Linked DNA regions of Ovis aries. Each later gene encodes a partner of the first gene's protein in a complex. Links are inferred from orthologs where the notes say so. Each region holds a gene or a part of one and is shown on either strand. Other genes may lie near its edges.

Region 1 (3,656 bases):
TAAGAGCATACGGGGATTTTTTTTTCTAGATAACATGAAGCATGTTTATCTGATAGTGAATTTGTGGTTGTTCAGTCACTAAGTCGTGTCCAGTTCTTTCCAACTCCATGGATTGCAGCACACCAGGCTTCCTTGTTCTTTACTATCTCCCAGAGTTTGCTCAAACTTCTGTCCATTGAGTTAATGATGCCATGCAACCATCCCATCATCTGTAGCCCCCTTCTCCTCCTGCTCTCAGTCTTTCCCAGCATCAGGGTCTTTTCCAATGAGTTGGTTCTTCACATCACATGTAGGTATTCCCTAAATAGTGAGTAGATATTAATCCAGATGTTAGGTTCTATTTACATTATTGTTATTACACTTAACAGTTGTGATAATACACATAATCACACATTCATTAATCACATACAAGTTCAGGGACTTCAGCAATGTTGATAGGATAGGCATTTAGCTTATTGATCTTCCAGAGCCCTGTCCTGTGGTTGAATTCTGAGGATCAACTTAATCTATTATTTAGTAATAGCCAGTCTTCTATTGAGCATTTGGATTTTTCTCTTTTTTTCTTTGCTTTTTCGTTTTTCCTTTTTCTTTTTACAAGCTCAGTCCTTGTCTTATCTGAGTATTTTCTATATTAATAAGTATTTGAAATGTTGTAAAGCATTCATTCAACCTACAGATTGTATAGGAGACACAAAAAGAATCATGAAGACTTGTCTTCTCCAAGTCTTCTCTTTTCTTGGTTATTTGATTTGTCATCCTGCCCTATAAAGGATCCCTGTCATTTTAAGACATTTAACCCCAGAAAACTGAGAGCATAGAATGATTTATCAGCTAATAGGAAATATCTGTAGAAGAATGCAGACAGGAGCTCTTGGGGGATTGAGTTTGTTTTTGTTTTAATTTATTTGCTGAACCGGGTCTTAGTTGTAGCATGTGGGATCTAGTTCCCTGACCAGGGATTGAACCCAGGCCACCTGCATTGGGAGCACAGTCTTAGCCACTGGACTACCAGGGAAGTTCCCCTGGGTTTGTTTGTTTTATATAAATTTGTATATTAATGGCTGCACTGGGTCTTCATTGCTATGCACAGGCTTTTCTCTAGTTGGCAACGAGTGAGGGCTACTCTTCAATTGTGGTGCTTGGGCTTCTCATTGCAGTGGTTTCTTTTGTGGAACACAGGCTTTAGGGCACAGGGGCAGTAGGTGTGGCAGCTGGGCTCAGTAGTTGTAGTACGCAGACTTAGTTACTCCACAGCATGTGGAATCTTCCAGACCAGGGATCAAACGCACGTCCCCTGCTTTGGCAGGCAGATTATTAACCAGTTGGACCACCAAGGAAGTCCTGGAACATTTTATTATTAATTAATTTTTCATTCTTACATACTGATTTTCCAGACTGTGTATTGATAAGCTTATCCAAATAATTGCCTAACTTCTTGAGTTTTTTTTGTTTTTTAAATCCAACTTGAGATGTGGGGACATCTGTCCATGTGTAGAAACTTGGTTTAGGGAAATTTGATTTTGAGAATACTAATTATATAAATAGTGAATTTTTCAGAATGAATTAATGAAACATCACATTTTTAAACACGGAAATTTTTAAAAAACTGGTTAATTCATGTATATGTGGTGTTTAAAATTAAAGTGCTTCTGGATGGAGTTCCTAACATGGAGTCAAGTTGTATTAGTTTCCTAGAGCTACCATACAAAGTATCTAAAACTAGATGGCTTAAAACACCAAAAATTTATTGTCTCATGATTCTGGAAGCTAGAATTCCCCAACTAAGGTTATCAGCAGGGCCATGCTCTCAGTAACTTTAAGGAAAGAATGCTTCCTTACTTCTTCCAGCTTCTTGTGTTTATCTGCAATTCTTGGCATTCCTTGATTTGCAGATGGATCACTCCGGTCACATGGCATCTTCTTTGTATGTGTCTTCATATTATCTTCCCTCTGCATGTCTTTCTCCATGTCCAAATTTCCCCTTTTTATAAGGATACCTGTTATATTGGATTAGGACTCACCCTAATTACCTCATTTTAATTTGATTGCCCCTATAAAAACCCTGTTTCTAATTCAGGTCATAGTCTGAGGTTCTGGGAGTTAACACTTCCCCATATTATTTTGGGAGCTACACTTCAACCCAAAACACAGCTGAGGATTAGAGAGATAAATGGGAAAGAATAAACAATTTAATAGTAGGGGGAAATACTTACAGGAAGTTTTTTTGAGAAATTACCTTTCCTTGATACAGATATACAGCTTTTTAGTATTTTGGCAAGTAACACCTTTAATTCTATTTAGGTAATAAACTTTTAATAGCTTTTGAGTGAAAATGAGCATTTGTCATTCGCTTTAGACTAAATTTCTTTGACATGAGTATGTCAAAGAAATATATTATTAACTTTTTCCTCATTCCATATGTGATAATCTCAGCCTAAGCTTTTAGAATTTAAATGCTTTGTCAGGGTGTTCTAGACACTCTTTGAATAAACTTTAATAAGATAGAAAAGTATATTTTCACTAATCTGGCAAAAATTAAATTTTAGCAGGCTCTAAGCAGAATAAATTCCCTGAGAAAAGAAAAAGGAACTCTGTGGACTCAGATCTGAAAAGCACAAGAGAATCTATAATGCCAAAAGCAAAAGAGTCCTTCCTTGAGAAGCGTCCCGATGGACCACATCAGAAAGAAAAATTTATAAAGCATATTGCACTGAAGACACCTGGTGATGTATTGCGTTTGGAAGATATATCCAAGGACCCAAATGAAGAAGCTGATTGCTCCTCTGCAGGCTTGACACCTACAAATTCTGGGCACCAAATCCGTGGTAGTGACCAAATCCGTGTGGCAAGTACCAAAGAGACTAAGATACCGAAACCCCACTTATCTTTACCTCAGGAAAAGTCTGCAGTTAAAAAAGCTAGCAACCTTCAGAAAAATAAAACTGCTAGCTCTGTGGCATCACAGGAGACAAAACTTCTACCTTTGCTTTCCCATGTTCCAAGTGCTGGTTCCTCTCGGGTTCCATTAAATGCTAAAAATTGCACTCTTCCAGTTCCTAAAAAAGATAAAGAGCGTTCTTCACCTAAAGAATGTTCTGGGCATTCTACAGAGTCCTCCAAACACAAGGAACACAAAGCAAAGACTAATAAGGCTGATTCTAACATATCTTCAGGGAAAATTTCTGAGGGATCTTTACGTTCAGAATATGGCACTCCTACAAAGTCTTCCCCAGCTGCTTTGGAAGTTGTGCCATGTATTCCAAGCCCACCAGCACCTTCAGATAAAGCCCCTTCAGATAAAGAGTGTTCAGGAAATTCTAATGCAGGTAGCAGTGCACTGAAAAGGAAACTAAGGGGTGATTTTGATAGTGATGAAGAAAGTTTAGGTTATAACCTAGAGAGTGATGAGGAAGAGGAAACATTAAAATCACTGGAAGAAATAATGGCTTTGAACTTCAATCAGACTCCTACAGCTACAGGAAAGCCTCCAGCTCTTTCTAAAGGGCTTAGATCTCAGTCATCAGACTATACAGTAAGTAGTTCTACGACATCTATCTTTACTTGAAGAGAGAAAAATGGATTGACTAGTGAAAGAGCGATAGATCTGTTAGAACTTACTTTAAAATTCAGTGTTTGTTACAACTCAGACTGAAAGC
Region 2 (3,499 bases), on another chromosome or scaffold:
GCTTACCTCCTTATCCTTTGGGACTCAACTAAGAGGCCCTCCCCAGCTAGAATACACCGCCTCCCTTGATCCTCAGTGTTCCTGTGTATCACAGCACCCAGTTGATTTCTTTGGTTGCACTCACCAAAACCACAACTGTCTTTGTTGACTAACCACTGTCAGGCTTCCTGCGGCTAGAATGTCAGTCCAGGAGGGCTGGGCCCAGGTCTCTGATCCCACTGTCTCCTCGGAGCCTAGCCCTGTCCCAGAGGCAGAGTAGGCGCTCACTGTAACATTGATTAAATGCTGAAATGCCCCTATGATGACATCTCAGAGCAGCTGTGCCTCCTGTTTCCAGACTTTTTGGATATTCTGCAATCTATTTATTATACTTTTTCTTTTCAGTTGATTCTATTTTCTCAAATTTCTAGACCCTGTAGTTCAGTCCTTCTAGGAACCCTGTTAATGAAGGTGCCATTACCCCCTTTTATAAATGAGATGGATACAATGATGCTGGCATGGTCTCTGGTACACCTGGACTCAAAAGGCCTGCAGGGCCCTTCCCCTCCATTTGCCTTGCCTGTGACCCTGTGCCCTGTGTGCCTCGATCCCACACACTTCCAGAGCCCTGCTGGGACCGAGTCATGGTTTTGTAATGGGTACCTTTAGAAGTTTGTACTTTTCCCCAGCATTTTATTTTTGAACTTACAGAAAAGCTTAAGGAGTAGTATGACGTACACTCCTGTAACTTGTACCTTGATTCAGAAGCTGTTAGCATTTTGCCATATTTGGCTTATCTATTCCATCCACATACTTTTTTTCGCTGAACCAGTTCAGAGTAAGTTGCGCTGTCATAATCCTTCACTGTTAAACACTTCAGCTTAAGAATATCCTCCTACATGCCGTTATTCATTATCCCTCTGATTCTGTCCTTGATAGAATGTTATCTAATGTGTGCCAGTGGTAGCCTTGACTGCTGTTTGGTTTTGCTTTGGGTCAGGATTCAGTCAAGCATCACACATTGTGCTTGGCTGGTATGCTCTTCTGCTTCCTGTCATCTAACACAGCTGCCAGCCTTTACTTGTCTCTCGTAACAGGACACTTTTGAAGAGTCCAGGTCAGTTACTTCATAGAACACCGCACAACTGGGGTGGTCAGCTTATTCTCTCATGAGCAGCAAGAACACAGAAGAGATGAGGGTGGCTACCCCTTTCCAGTGCATTACATCAAGAGGCAGGAACATCAGTGTGGTCTCACTGGTGTGAAGTTGGACCATATGGTCAGGGAGTCCCTAAGAGACTTCTCCCGTGTTCTCTTCCCAGAGGGTGAAACTCAGTCTCCCGTTCAGCCTTTCATTTGGTGAACTACTGAATTGATTTAGTAGATGGAAAATTGGTCCCTTTCTAGTCATGTATTCCTTCTACATTTCTTAACTGGCCTTCTGATAAAAATGACCTTCCCCTTCTCCCTGCACTCATTCTTATTTACTATGGATTTGGGACATTTTAAAATTCAGTGTGTTATAGTCCCATTTTTTTGGCCATTATTTACCATCATATTGTTCAAAATGTGGCCAACAGAAACTAATATGTCCCCATTAGTTTCTAAGCATTCCCTTACTTTCTTATAAAAAAAAGTTCCAGGTTCCCCTTGTAACTTCCTTGCCATGATCCTAAAATCAGCCTTTTTGCCAAGAGTTCTGGTATTTTTTAGTGGGGAGTGGGAAATAGTATTTCAAAACCAAGATCTAGGTGCTGAGTATGCTGATTGCTACTGGGACAGCCATCAGTTATTATTGCTTCTAGGCCCTTTCTGACAAGGGCTAGTAAATTATGTAATTTAAAAAAAATGAAAGTTCATACTGATACCTGTTTCCACTTCCACAGAATTCTTCCTCTTCCTGTTCCTTAATTCAATCTTGTCTCCCATAGTGAGAACCCTTGCTTTATTCTCAACATGAATGTTTATTCATTTGGTCTATCCTGCAATACATACAAAATGGATTCAACAGAATTACGATTAACCAAAATCATGACAGACTTACCATGTAAAATTTAATATCTTTGCAATTCTTTTCAGAGAGTAGTTCTCCAATTATATCCATTTGAAATAGTTTCATTATTTAATATAGGTTTGTTGTCTAAATCAACAAAGGAAAAAGAACTAAAACCAAGGCTTTTTTTAATACTAAAACCTGAGGTCCAGAGAGAACCAGAACAAAGGACCTTTCAGAAATGGGCCTTTGACTTGTAGCCTAGTCACTCATCAACAAATCTTTGCCTACACCCTACCTACCAAAATTCCGTCTTCCCCAGTCATAGAGGAATAGAAAGTCGTTCGGAACAGTGCCGCTGACTTTTTCCCTCTTGCAGAGCACTTGCGGAGCTCAGTGATTGACCGGAAAGACTTAATAATCAAAAGAATCAAGCCCAAGCCCCAGCAGGGGGACGACATCTCCGTGGTGGACGTGGAGAAGCAGATCGAGGCCTTCCGCAGCCGCCTGGTCCGCATGCTGGGGGAGCCGCTCGTCCCGCAGCTGCAGGACAAGGTGCGCCTCCTCAGGCTCCTGCTCTTCTTTGCCGCAGACCTGAACCCCGACTCGGAGGTCTCTCCATAGGCCTGGAGCAGCACAAGGTTGTCTGAGGCACTGAACACCAAGAATACCTCCTGAACTCCACCTCCAACTGCTTGGAAGTCCCAGAAGGATAGAAAGTAGTTTAAAATCTAACAGGACCAAACCTACCTTATTTATCTGTAGGCTATGATAACTTTCTAACTCTTTAGTAAACATCTTTTTTTTTAACAACCCTGTCCTAGCCTCTTCTCAGATATGACTTAAATACATATGGTGTATATATTTTTTAATAAATTATTTATGTATACTTTTTTTGAAACAGGTAATACTGTATGCACTATATGTTTAACATTTCCATTCAAGATGTGAAAAAAAGAATCCATGTGCTAAACAAATTTGAGACATCAATGTTACGTCATTCAAGGTACTGAGAACCTGTTTCGAAAGAGAAAGATGTTTGTGTCCCTAACGGAAAACAAACATCCTATATCGGACCTGTGATATTGCCTATTTGTGGCCAGTCTGTTAAGACCTAACGTAATGAAGGGGGATAGAAACAAAAGTATTGAGTGTGCTGCAAAAAGATTGATGTTAAAAGGATACAATAAAAAGGCAATGGTGTTTCAAAATATCAAATTTATCATGCTTAGGTTTCATGACTGAGCAGGCAGAATGGAGTAACTTAATGAAAAAAAACTTCCATCTACATTTGAGAAAGTAGTACGGATTTTTATTGTCAAAACAAGTAAGAGATACAAGCATAACAGAAGACACAAATAAATTAATTCTGATCATCTGAGACTCCAGGGTGTCTCTGGGGGAAGGTCAGCTCGGCTCCTTGTGTAGACACAATACCGTCCAAAGCAAGAGACAGCAGGAACGGACGGTGTTCAAGACAGTGGCTGCACGTGTACAGTGAAGAGAAATGAGAGAGTGGCTTCCCCA

Evidence for each region.
Region 2: the proteins of SLF2 (region 1) and SIMC1 are in contact, whole or in part, in a cryo-EM structure (PDB 7T5P), measured with the Homo sapiens proteins. The link is inferred for Ovis aries from reciprocal best matches to the Homo sapiens genes SLF2 and SIMC1. Residues at the interface, in NP_060591.3 of Homo sapiens: His738, Val772, Leu775, Lys778, Asp783, Phe786, Gln790, Gly791, Phe792, Thr794, Ser795, Ala796, Tyr797, His798, Tyr799, Cys820, Ile821, Gln825, Ser828, Met831, Glu832, Ile835, Arg836, Asp838, Thr839, Ser841, Asp842, Ser843, Pro847, Lys919; in NP_001295125.1 of Homo sapiens: Tyr426, Arg428, Leu431, Lys435, Leu438, Pro440, Val442, His443, His444, Leu445, Phe447, Gln448, Arg470, Arg471, Phe490, Asp493, Pro497, Val521, Asp522, Lys525, Glu526, Tyr528, Met529, Met532, Lys533, Gln536, Leu537, Arg571, Asn658, Gln661.

The regions. Positions count from the first base shown.
Region 1 is NC_056075.1:21,532,800-21,536,455, forward strand, and holds part of SLF2 (SMC5-SMC6 complex localization factor protein 2), read left to right. Parts: intron 1-2,546; coding exon 2,547-3,532; intron 3,533-3,656. UniProt on the Homo sapiens protein: Plays a role in the DNA damage response (DDR) pathway by regulating postreplication repair of UV-damaged DNA and genomic stability maintenance.
Region 2 is NC_056060.1:5,010,581-5,014,079, reverse strand, and holds the end of SIMC1 (SUMO-interacting motif-containing protein 1), read left to right. Parts: intron 1-2,351; coding exon 2,352-2,596; 3' UTR 2,597-2,873; downstream 2,874-3,499.